2 linked regions of the Nothobranchius furzeri genome follow. The protein of the gene in region 2 interacts with the protein of the main gene of each other region in a biochemical or structural test. Links are inferred from orthologs where the notes say so. Each region holds a gene or a part of one and is shown on either strand. Other genes may lie near its edges.

Region 1 (4,286 bases), on a different chromosome or scaffold from region 2:
TGGGGTGTTCTTTCGGAAATTATAGCAAACAAACCTCTAATATCAATAAATTTAATAAATCTAATTTCCTGAATTTGCAAGAAGGAATATTTTACCAGAACACTATTATTTCTAATACCTGGGCTTCAAGTTCATTATCAGCAAAACAGCTTAGCTGATGTTTGGCATCTTCCATCACATCAACATCCACCATGTGCAAGTCATCCAGGTAAAACACACCTCTGGAGGTAAAGTTTGGGTCGAATCGAGCTTTCCATTCTCCTGCAAAGAAACAAAGAAAAATCTTCTCATTTCAGTTACATAAAGTCACAACAATGACTGTTTATCTGAACTCAAGGAAATAGTTTTTTTATGTGGATATTCCTAGAATGACTCTGTAAGATTCCTTTCAGTCACCTTTAAAGTGGACAGCATTGATGAGCATGAGGAGCAGATTGGGTGGTAAAGTAAACAGGAAGTCCGTCATCCTTCCATTTGTTGCGTTCTCTACCCATTCATTAATCTGCTGAAGGCTCTCCAAGACTGCTGGTTCTGAGCCGTAAAATAGCTGAGATTCACTCACAAATTTGTGCTTTGCTTCAAACCCTGAAACACAAAGGTACACAAAGGTACACACAGCGTACCGCGTACAGCGTTGAGGGTCAAGTCTAGATTCTCATGAAGAAAAGCATCCATCCATCCATCCATCCATCCATTTTCATCCACTTATCCCGGGTCAGTCGCGGGGAAGCAGCCTAAGCAGAGAGGCCCAGACTTCCCTTTCCCCAGCCACTTGGGCCAGCTCCTCCAGGGCAATCCCAAGGCATTCCCTGGCCAACTGAGAGACATAGTCCCTCCAGCGTGTCCTGGGTCTTTTTTAGGTCTCCTCCTGGTTGGACGTGCCTGGAAAACCTCACCAGGAAGGTGCCCAGGAGGCATCCTAACTAGATGCCCGAGCCACCTCAACTGGCTTCTCTTGATGTGGAGAAGCAGTGGGTCTACTCCGAGCCTCTCCCAGATGACCAAGCTTCTCACCCTATCTCTAAGGGAGAACCCAGACACCCTGCGGAGAAAGCTAATTTCGGCTGCTTGTATCTGTGATCTTGTTCTTTCAGTCACTACCCAAGCCCGTGACCATAAGTGAGGGTAGGAACGTAGAGCAACCAGTAAATCAAGAGCGTCGCCTTCCGACTCAGCTCTCTCTTCACCACGGCAGACCGGTACAACGTCACTGCAGACGCAGCACCAATCCGCTTATCGATCTAGTGCGCTCTTTCCCTCACTCGTGAACAAGACCCGAAACACTTAAACTCCTCCAATTTATCAGTGCAGTTATAAATCAATGAAATTAGGCAAAACATTTCTTAGGAAGTAACCTTGACGCAGAAATATGCGGGTGGCAATTTGCAGGTCTCTCTTTTTAAGCTGTGCTAAAACATCACGCAGAGACCGATGGTAACAAGGAACAGCGTTCTCGTGGAGGTGATGCATCAGCAGCTCTTCAGTCTCATTTTTTGCACCTTTGAAAAGACAAAAATAAAGCAGCAGGAATCATTTCATGAGGAAAATGGCAATATCAGTTTTAAAAATGCAAAGAATGATAAATTGTTAATAAAATCAAATGAATATTGTGTAAATGAAGGCCTCTGTAGTGAGTGCATACCTAAAGCCAGTTGAGAGAGGGCTAGAGATATGCTTAAAGGAGATATGATGATGTTTGGGTGTTCTGGTGTGGTCTCCAGGTTTTGTAGCAGCTGAACACCCAGGTTCTGAACAGCAGCGGCGATGGCCTGTTGGGATTTGGGGCTCTGGCTGGCAGACTGACAATCACCGGTTTCGTTTACGTCTAGCGACGTTTTGTTCGAGGTAAGTATGGCTGCCAGTTCTTTGGTTGCTACATCTGTGGAAGCTAAAGGTTCTGACGTAGAACTTTCTCCTTCCTGCAGCAAGGATTAGAACAATCTAAATCCAAAACCCAAATACTATAAGAGGAAAAAGAAAATAGTGTCATTTTGACCCCTACTTCTATGGGTTGACTGGGAATCAAAGGGACGAGAGGGGTTGACTGATCTTCTGTCACCTCAGCTTTCTGTTGATCACAAGATTGTAATAAAACACCATTAAAGTACTTTACATTCAGCAAATACTCCAGTGATTTAGCCTTATTACGTAAAGGTAACTCATTGTTTTACAGTGGCTCCTTGGCTGCAGAGACAAATCAACAGGAGTGTCAGGCAGAGGTCCATGTCCTTTATACGTCACTAGAAGACAAAATTAGGCATAATGATAATTATTCTAAGCAAGACATCTTCTCACTTTGGTACATTTTATAGAAAATTTTACTTTCACAAAAGCAAAAGTATTCGCCTCCTGTTGGTGTTCAGGAGGGGAACGGATAATTTACTTCAATTTTGCCAGCTGATCTTCCAAAACCCACTTTCCAAAGCAGGAATTCTGACTAGAATAACGTAATTACGTCAAAAGTGCATTAAAGCTTGTTATAGAACCATAACCTGTTAAACAGACTTCACACAACCACGAAAAAAAGCTCATTATTTCAATTCTTAACAAAATTCCAAACATTTCCAGAGAATTTATTCAAAAATATACAGACTTACCTTTTATTTGAACTACAAAAATCTTGCTGCCGTGTCCAAAAAAGGAGAACCTACTGTACTGTGAATGGCTGAATTCCTGAGAGTAAAAGATTGGCATTTGCTCAGCAAACAGTTAAATATCAACTTGCATTGATCGACGCCTCATTTTGACCACTATGTGTTTGTAAATGCAGCTACTCAGACTCCTCCAGAGTTAAATAGGCTATTTTGACACACGTAGTATGTCAGTGAGATGGGAACATCATTAGAAAAACTTAATCTCTGACAGGAACAATGATAACTTGCTTACAAGAGTTTGATTAATCCAACCACAAACAAAAGCAACTTGGTGACTCGAGATTGAGAAACAAACTCCCACGCTTCTCAGAAAACCGGAATTAGGACATGTCGGCTGGACAAAAAGGCAAATAGTTAAATATTGTGTCCCAAGATGATCTCAAGTTGAATTTGCAACTAAAACCAATTGATCAACGCTTAAAAGAAATATTTAAAAGTCCACTAATTAGATTACTTTCTCAACACAAAGATAAACTTGTATCTTGGAAATATCACATGACTGCAATCTGCAAACACAAAGGGGACTTTGTACAATCTGAACCCAAGTGATTAAGCCAACATTAGGAGGCTAAATGGAGTCACAGCGTATCACATGAAACAACACACAGAAAAGACGGAAGCAACTTTTATTAAACATGTTAATAATTTAAAGTCTTTGCCCATTTCTCTTCAAGTGTTTGCCATTTTATGCTCCAATTTGGACTTCAAGTTCACCAAAAATGAGAAAATAAAAATTCTAAACATTCTTTTATCACATTTATTTGAACTTTAGGCTAATTATTAGAAAAAAGCCCAACTTTGAAAAACGCCATACAAAAAAGCTGAGCTTCCAAAGTTAGATGTTAAGGTTTAAAAACTGGAATTGATTTAAGAAACAAAACTTCTGCTGTTTATTTTATTTACATTACACAAAGAAGCATATATATTTCCTCTATAGACATAGTTTTCCTAATATTCCTACGTGGTTACACATAAATGTTAAAATACAAACGTTGTTTCACTTGGCATCGACTGTTCAGTTTTTGGAGGTAAACTAAAAGCTGCTGTGAAACAAACAAGATTAAATGATGAGTTGACCTAAAGATGGTCCTGATGAAGGTTTCAAGTCATTTATTTGGGGGGGTGGGGGAGAGAAACAAATATTCAGTATTTTAAATCTGAGCGTTACAATTCAGACTTTTCTTTGTGCAGTTGATTAAAGGTTGTGCATTTGTACTCTTTGTTTGGCGTGGCAGCTCTAGGCGAACTACCATCACAACAAGTTTATCGTTGAGCACAATCAAACATCTCGCTGTAGACATGGAGTAACGATTACAGAAATGGTTTGGTGTACAAATACTGCATAGTTTCCTCAGTGCACTTGATTAACATTTACTCATCATTATGAAGGGACAATGGAAGGCGAGCTTGATGTGTTTTTGGTTTCATTAAGCAACTACCGGTATTTGAAAAAGTGAAAAGACTAGCTAAAACCTTCCTGAGCGTATCTTCTGGTTTTGATCGGAATAGCTGAACTAGGCAGAACAATAAATGTATAGACAAGAGTTTTCCCATTATGTCATTCACGTATAAAGGCGCAGGATTTTAATTCCAGTGTGCATGAAACGTCTACAGAGTGGGGCATACTTCCTG
Region 2 (4,390 bases):
AAAAGGCAAGGGCAAAAGGGTAATCGCTGTAGCACTCCAATTTTAAAACAAAAAGAAAAGCTATACAAAATTTGCTCTGTCGTAGTTCAAGATGAATTGCAAGCCAGATGCGATTCCTGTGTTGGCACACAAGATGGATGCCATCATCGAGGAAGTTACTGCATGGTATGAAGGGAATTATACCTCATTATTGGGGTGTTTGGAGGAGCTTGAGACCAGCAGAGACTGAGGAAATCTCCCACAGCGTGAATGCTGACAGATGCTTTGAAACCTTTCCTCCTTCAATCCTGGTTTGGAATTGTGACGTATCTGGTTGGTCAACTGGTGATCTGGGCGTGACCATGGAATCTTCAAGGACTCATTGCACTCTCCATTCCTCTCCTTCACACCCGTAAGCAGTAGTACGCACACTAGATGCTGTATGCTCTCTCAGCTGCGAGGGGGATCCCAGCTCCTCCCACCTTCTACTTGTGGACTAATGTTGTGTCTGAGTCTGCGCTCATGTGTTTTCTCCCTCATTCCTTCCCAGCTTTCACAACAGAGTTTTTTAGTTGTAGCTCACAGGCAGATGTGTGGTTCCCTTTACTAGTTTTACTGTTGTGGTTTACATTATCTCAGTTTTTTCCCCCTAGTTTATTTTTACTTTTTGTAGTTCCTTGTACTAGTTTAACTGCTTTAGTTTTCATCTTACATTTTACCTTGTGTGGCACATTATGCAAACTTAGTATTGTTTTCTTGTAACTAGAAATTCTGTGTTACCTTTCCTTTTGTAATGCCACAATCCCTCACCACCACTGGTCACCAGCCACTTCTAGTTTTCTGCTCAATCACCTATTGAACTTCTGTTAGCTTTCTAGTTTCAGTGTTTTTGTAGTTCACTGTACCAGTTTTACTGCTTTTGTTTTGGTCACCGTACACTTGTAGTTTAATCAATGCTTTCATTGGTTGGCCTTCCACAAAACTTTCAAACAACAGCTGTCGAATCTTGATGAAGATGGTTGTCTTCAGAAGTTTGGAATCAACTCAGTATCAACTGTTATAGATACATGAATCTCACCAGTACAGCTGGGTATGTTGCAGGACTCCCAGCGAGTATTTGGGTCAGTGGTATAACACCAGGGTCCATTTATGTCCCCGTCAGGGTTTCTGCAGAAGTTGGAGTCCAAATCTGCAAGTGGATTTTTGTCTGGTGTGTAGCTGCGACGGAAATGTTTACAAAAGTTACAAAATTGATGAAAATAATTTAGGAATCAAATGTGAAGTGATACCTACTTGGGCTTGTGTGGGAATCTTGAAGCCCATCTCTGACACAGCGTTCCTGATTTTGTTCTGCTCTTTGTTCCTCTGTAATCTGTTCCTGTTCCATTCACACACTCCAAAAGATATTCTAGAAAAGACAAAAAAGAAGCAGTGATTATACAAACTCACCTGACTGATCAAACACAAGGCTTTTATTCTGAAAACCAAAACAAATGTGTTTAACTTGTAATTCATCTCTGCTTTGTTTGCAGCCAGTCCAAAAACCACTGCTGGTACACCACGAGCTAAACATTAACTACTGTGTCACTAAAACAACAAAATACCATTACAAATTAGAGGAAAAGAGTTGAAAAACTTTATAAAAATGGACTTGCTGTTTTTTTCATATAAAGCTGAGCTTCGCCGGCGTAGGACAAGCTCCGTTTTTGAGTTTGATGCTGCTGTCCAACATTCCTGGTCCTTCTCTACATATGTAAATGCCCTGCAGAAGTAAATACCAAGTCAGGCTTTGATTAACAGTGTAGATGGAAGACATCGGAGAAAGAAGCATCAACTTACTTGCAGAGGAAAGATGTTTCAGTGTCACATTTGGTGGCACACTCAGCCACAGTGTTGACTGTATACTGTCTTTTGTTCAGCGAAAGCACCCACGCCCCCTCAGTTTTAGCGTAGCCGTCCACCTCGGTACCCCCGACTGGTGACAGATAGAATATTAATCAACATGTGAGGTGTGGTCATCAATTTGTGAACCAAACGTTTCTTTCCATTCAGGTCAACCCACAATAATTCTGAATCAGTTGAACAGAACTTGTAACTGAATTCAAGAATAGTACGTGGTCATTTACAAAATTAACATTAGAACATTCAAAAGATGTCAAGTTTTTTCAAGTCAGATTCCAGGTTATTTTGTGATCTTTAGGTTGGAATCTCTTCAGATTAGACAGTCTTTTTCTACAGCAAGCATAATTACAGATATGTTTATAAGCACCTTTTATACGTGTTATTGCATCTTACCAGAGCAAAGAAAGGCTCCCAGAAGAAACGTTGCCTTGAACGGGTCCATGCTGTTGACAGTCCACCAGCAGCTCATCATCGACTGGAACTCAGATGTCCCTCTACTTCTATTAGGTACTTACAGAAAGGACAGCTACTAGTCAATGATTGGCCTGACAGGAAAAGCTAACAACAACAGGTCAAAATCCATTTTATGAAAGATTCTGGAACAAGCAACTGTCCAATGAAACAATGAACTCATGTCATTGATTATCATGTTCAGTTCTTGCACCAGTAATGGTGATTTAACAACAAAAAAACAAAAACAATGAAAACCATTTTCTGAGAGACGAAATAAATGGGTTTTCCACCTTCCACATCATCTTTGAGGACCTCGATCTTGCTCAACTTTGTTTACCCCCATTTCCAAGAAGTAAAACTCTCTTGTAAAAAATTCCCTTTACTAAAAACTTATACAATTTCTGGTTATGTATCATTCTTGTTTAATGTCACTTTGATCCGTTTTTAATACTTTTTATATTGTCTTGCTGTCAAAGACTCACCTCCAACTCTGAGGGAGCGTTCCACCTTTATCCTTTTTTGGAGGAACCAACTATCATCCCAGCTGCTCCCCACTCATCTGTTCACCGTCCCAGCTTACCATGGCTTAAAGACACCAAGAAGAACCATATCACCTGAGATCCTGAGGTTTTCAAACTCTCTATGACTGCACCTGGAGGCCAGGATCAGAGACAACGAACCACATGATTAAATCACAGATTGGACCTTTGTTTCATTGATGAGTTCTTTGTGATCTAGCTAGAACAGCTTCCTTATCTATACTGGAGATCAGTGTCCTCATTTGCAAACAAGTGATTACGAAACAAACTTTAGATATGATCACTGAGTCAACTGTTTAAATACGTCTTAACCTTCTAAGAGCCACATTTATGAGACAAACTGTGGGAACTTAACCCTGAAATATGAAACTCACAAAAGATTTAAGGTGTTATGAAAAAAGTTTTAATGGATTAAAAGGCTTTTTAACCTTTCAGTAGCTTTCAATGAATAATGTTTTCTCTAAATATAATGTAAAAGCTACATGGTAGCACTGTTGCCTCACAGCAAAAAGCTGCAGGTTTGAATCCCAGCTGCTACCTTTCTGTGTGGAGAAATGTTGTTGTTGCAGAGTCATAAACTCACATTAAATTTACTTGAAAAGACAAGGAGTATTTTTCTTCACAGGACAGTGAAAGAATCTTTCATAACCTTTGGCGACACAGGCATCACAGCCCATTTCTTCTAGAGTCTTATATTCAGGTTTAAAAACCCCAGGGGGCAAAACACAAGACCAACCAAAGGTGGCGGGCGAGGAGGGCCAGAAAACATAAAATCCCACCAAAAAACCCAGAGAAACCCCGGAGGGAACTGGAGCCGAAAAACCTGGAGAGTCTGGGGGGCCGGCGACGGGGAACCAGGAGCCGGGATCTGGCTCTGGGGGACAGATGGGACGCCAAAGACACCGGAGGAGGACGAGGGGACGAAGACCTTGGAGAAGGACAAGGGAACAAAGCCTTTGGAGAAGGACTGTGAAGGGACTCCGGAGGAGGACGATGGAGGGGCTCTGGAGGAGGACGATGGAGGGACTCTAGAGGAGGATGATGGAGGGACTCTAGAGGAGGACGATGGAGGGACTCTGGAGGATGGCAGGGGGACGTAGACTCTGGAGGGGAGGTAGACTCTGGAGGAAGGGACGGAGACTCTGGAGGAAGGGACGGAGAAATGGGAGGCTGAAGAGGGGACTCTGGAGGCTGAAGAGGGGATCCTGGAGGCTGAAGAGGGGACAATGGAGGCTGAAGAGGGGACAATGGAGGCTGAAGAGGGGACACTGGAGGCTGAAGAGGGGACTCTGGAGGCTGAAGAGGGGACTCTGGAGACGCTGCTGGCAAGGACACTGCAGACCTGGAATCTGATGGCGTAGACTCTGAAGATGTAGACTCTGCAGCAGACGTAGACCCTGCGGCAGACATGGCCTCTGCAAGCGAAGACGAGGACTCTCTGACCAGCTGGGCCGGGGAAAGAGCCTCTTGGACAGGCGGAACCACTGCAGACGGAGCCTCTTGGGCAGGCGGAACCA

The links.
Region 1: the proteins of plg (region 2) and serpinf2b form a complex in vitro, tested with the Homo sapiens proteins (2 studies listed by BioGRID, with this or other methods). The link is inferred for Nothobranchius furzeri from reciprocal best matches to the Homo sapiens genes PLG and SERPINF2.

The regions. Positions count from the first base shown.
Region 1 is NC_091753.1:47,653,933-47,658,218, reverse strand, and holds the start of serpinf2b (serpin peptidase inhibitor, clade F (alpha-2 antiplasmin, pigment epithelium derived factor), member 2b), read right to left. Parts: upstream 2,844-4,286; 5' UTR 2,598-2,843; intron 2,495-2,597; exon of another isoform or gene 2,384-2,494; intron 2,241-2,383; 5' UTR 2,226-2,240; coding exon 2,172-2,225; intron 2,069-2,171; coding exon 2,003-2,068; intron 1,920-2,002; coding exon 1,643-1,919; intron 1,500-1,642; coding exon 1,356-1,499; intron 586-1,355; coding exon 397-585; intron 262-396; coding exon 119-261; intron 1-118.
Region 2 is NC_091742.1:9,663,678-9,668,067, forward strand, and holds the start of plg (plasminogen), read right to left. Parts: upstream 2,961-4,390; 5' UTR 2,817-2,960; intron 2,392-2,816; 5' UTR 2,354-2,391; coding exon 2,275-2,353; intron 1,955-2,274; coding exon 1,819-1,954; intron 1,742-1,818; coding exon 1,635-1,741; intron 1,388-1,634; coding exon 1,273-1,387; intron 1,198-1,272; coding exon 1,058-1,197; intron 1-1,057. UniProt on the Homo sapiens protein: Plasmin dissolves the fibrin of blood clots and acts as a proteolytic factor in a variety of other processes including embryonic development, tissue remodeling, tumor invasion, and inflammation. In ovulation, weakens the walls of the Graafian follicle.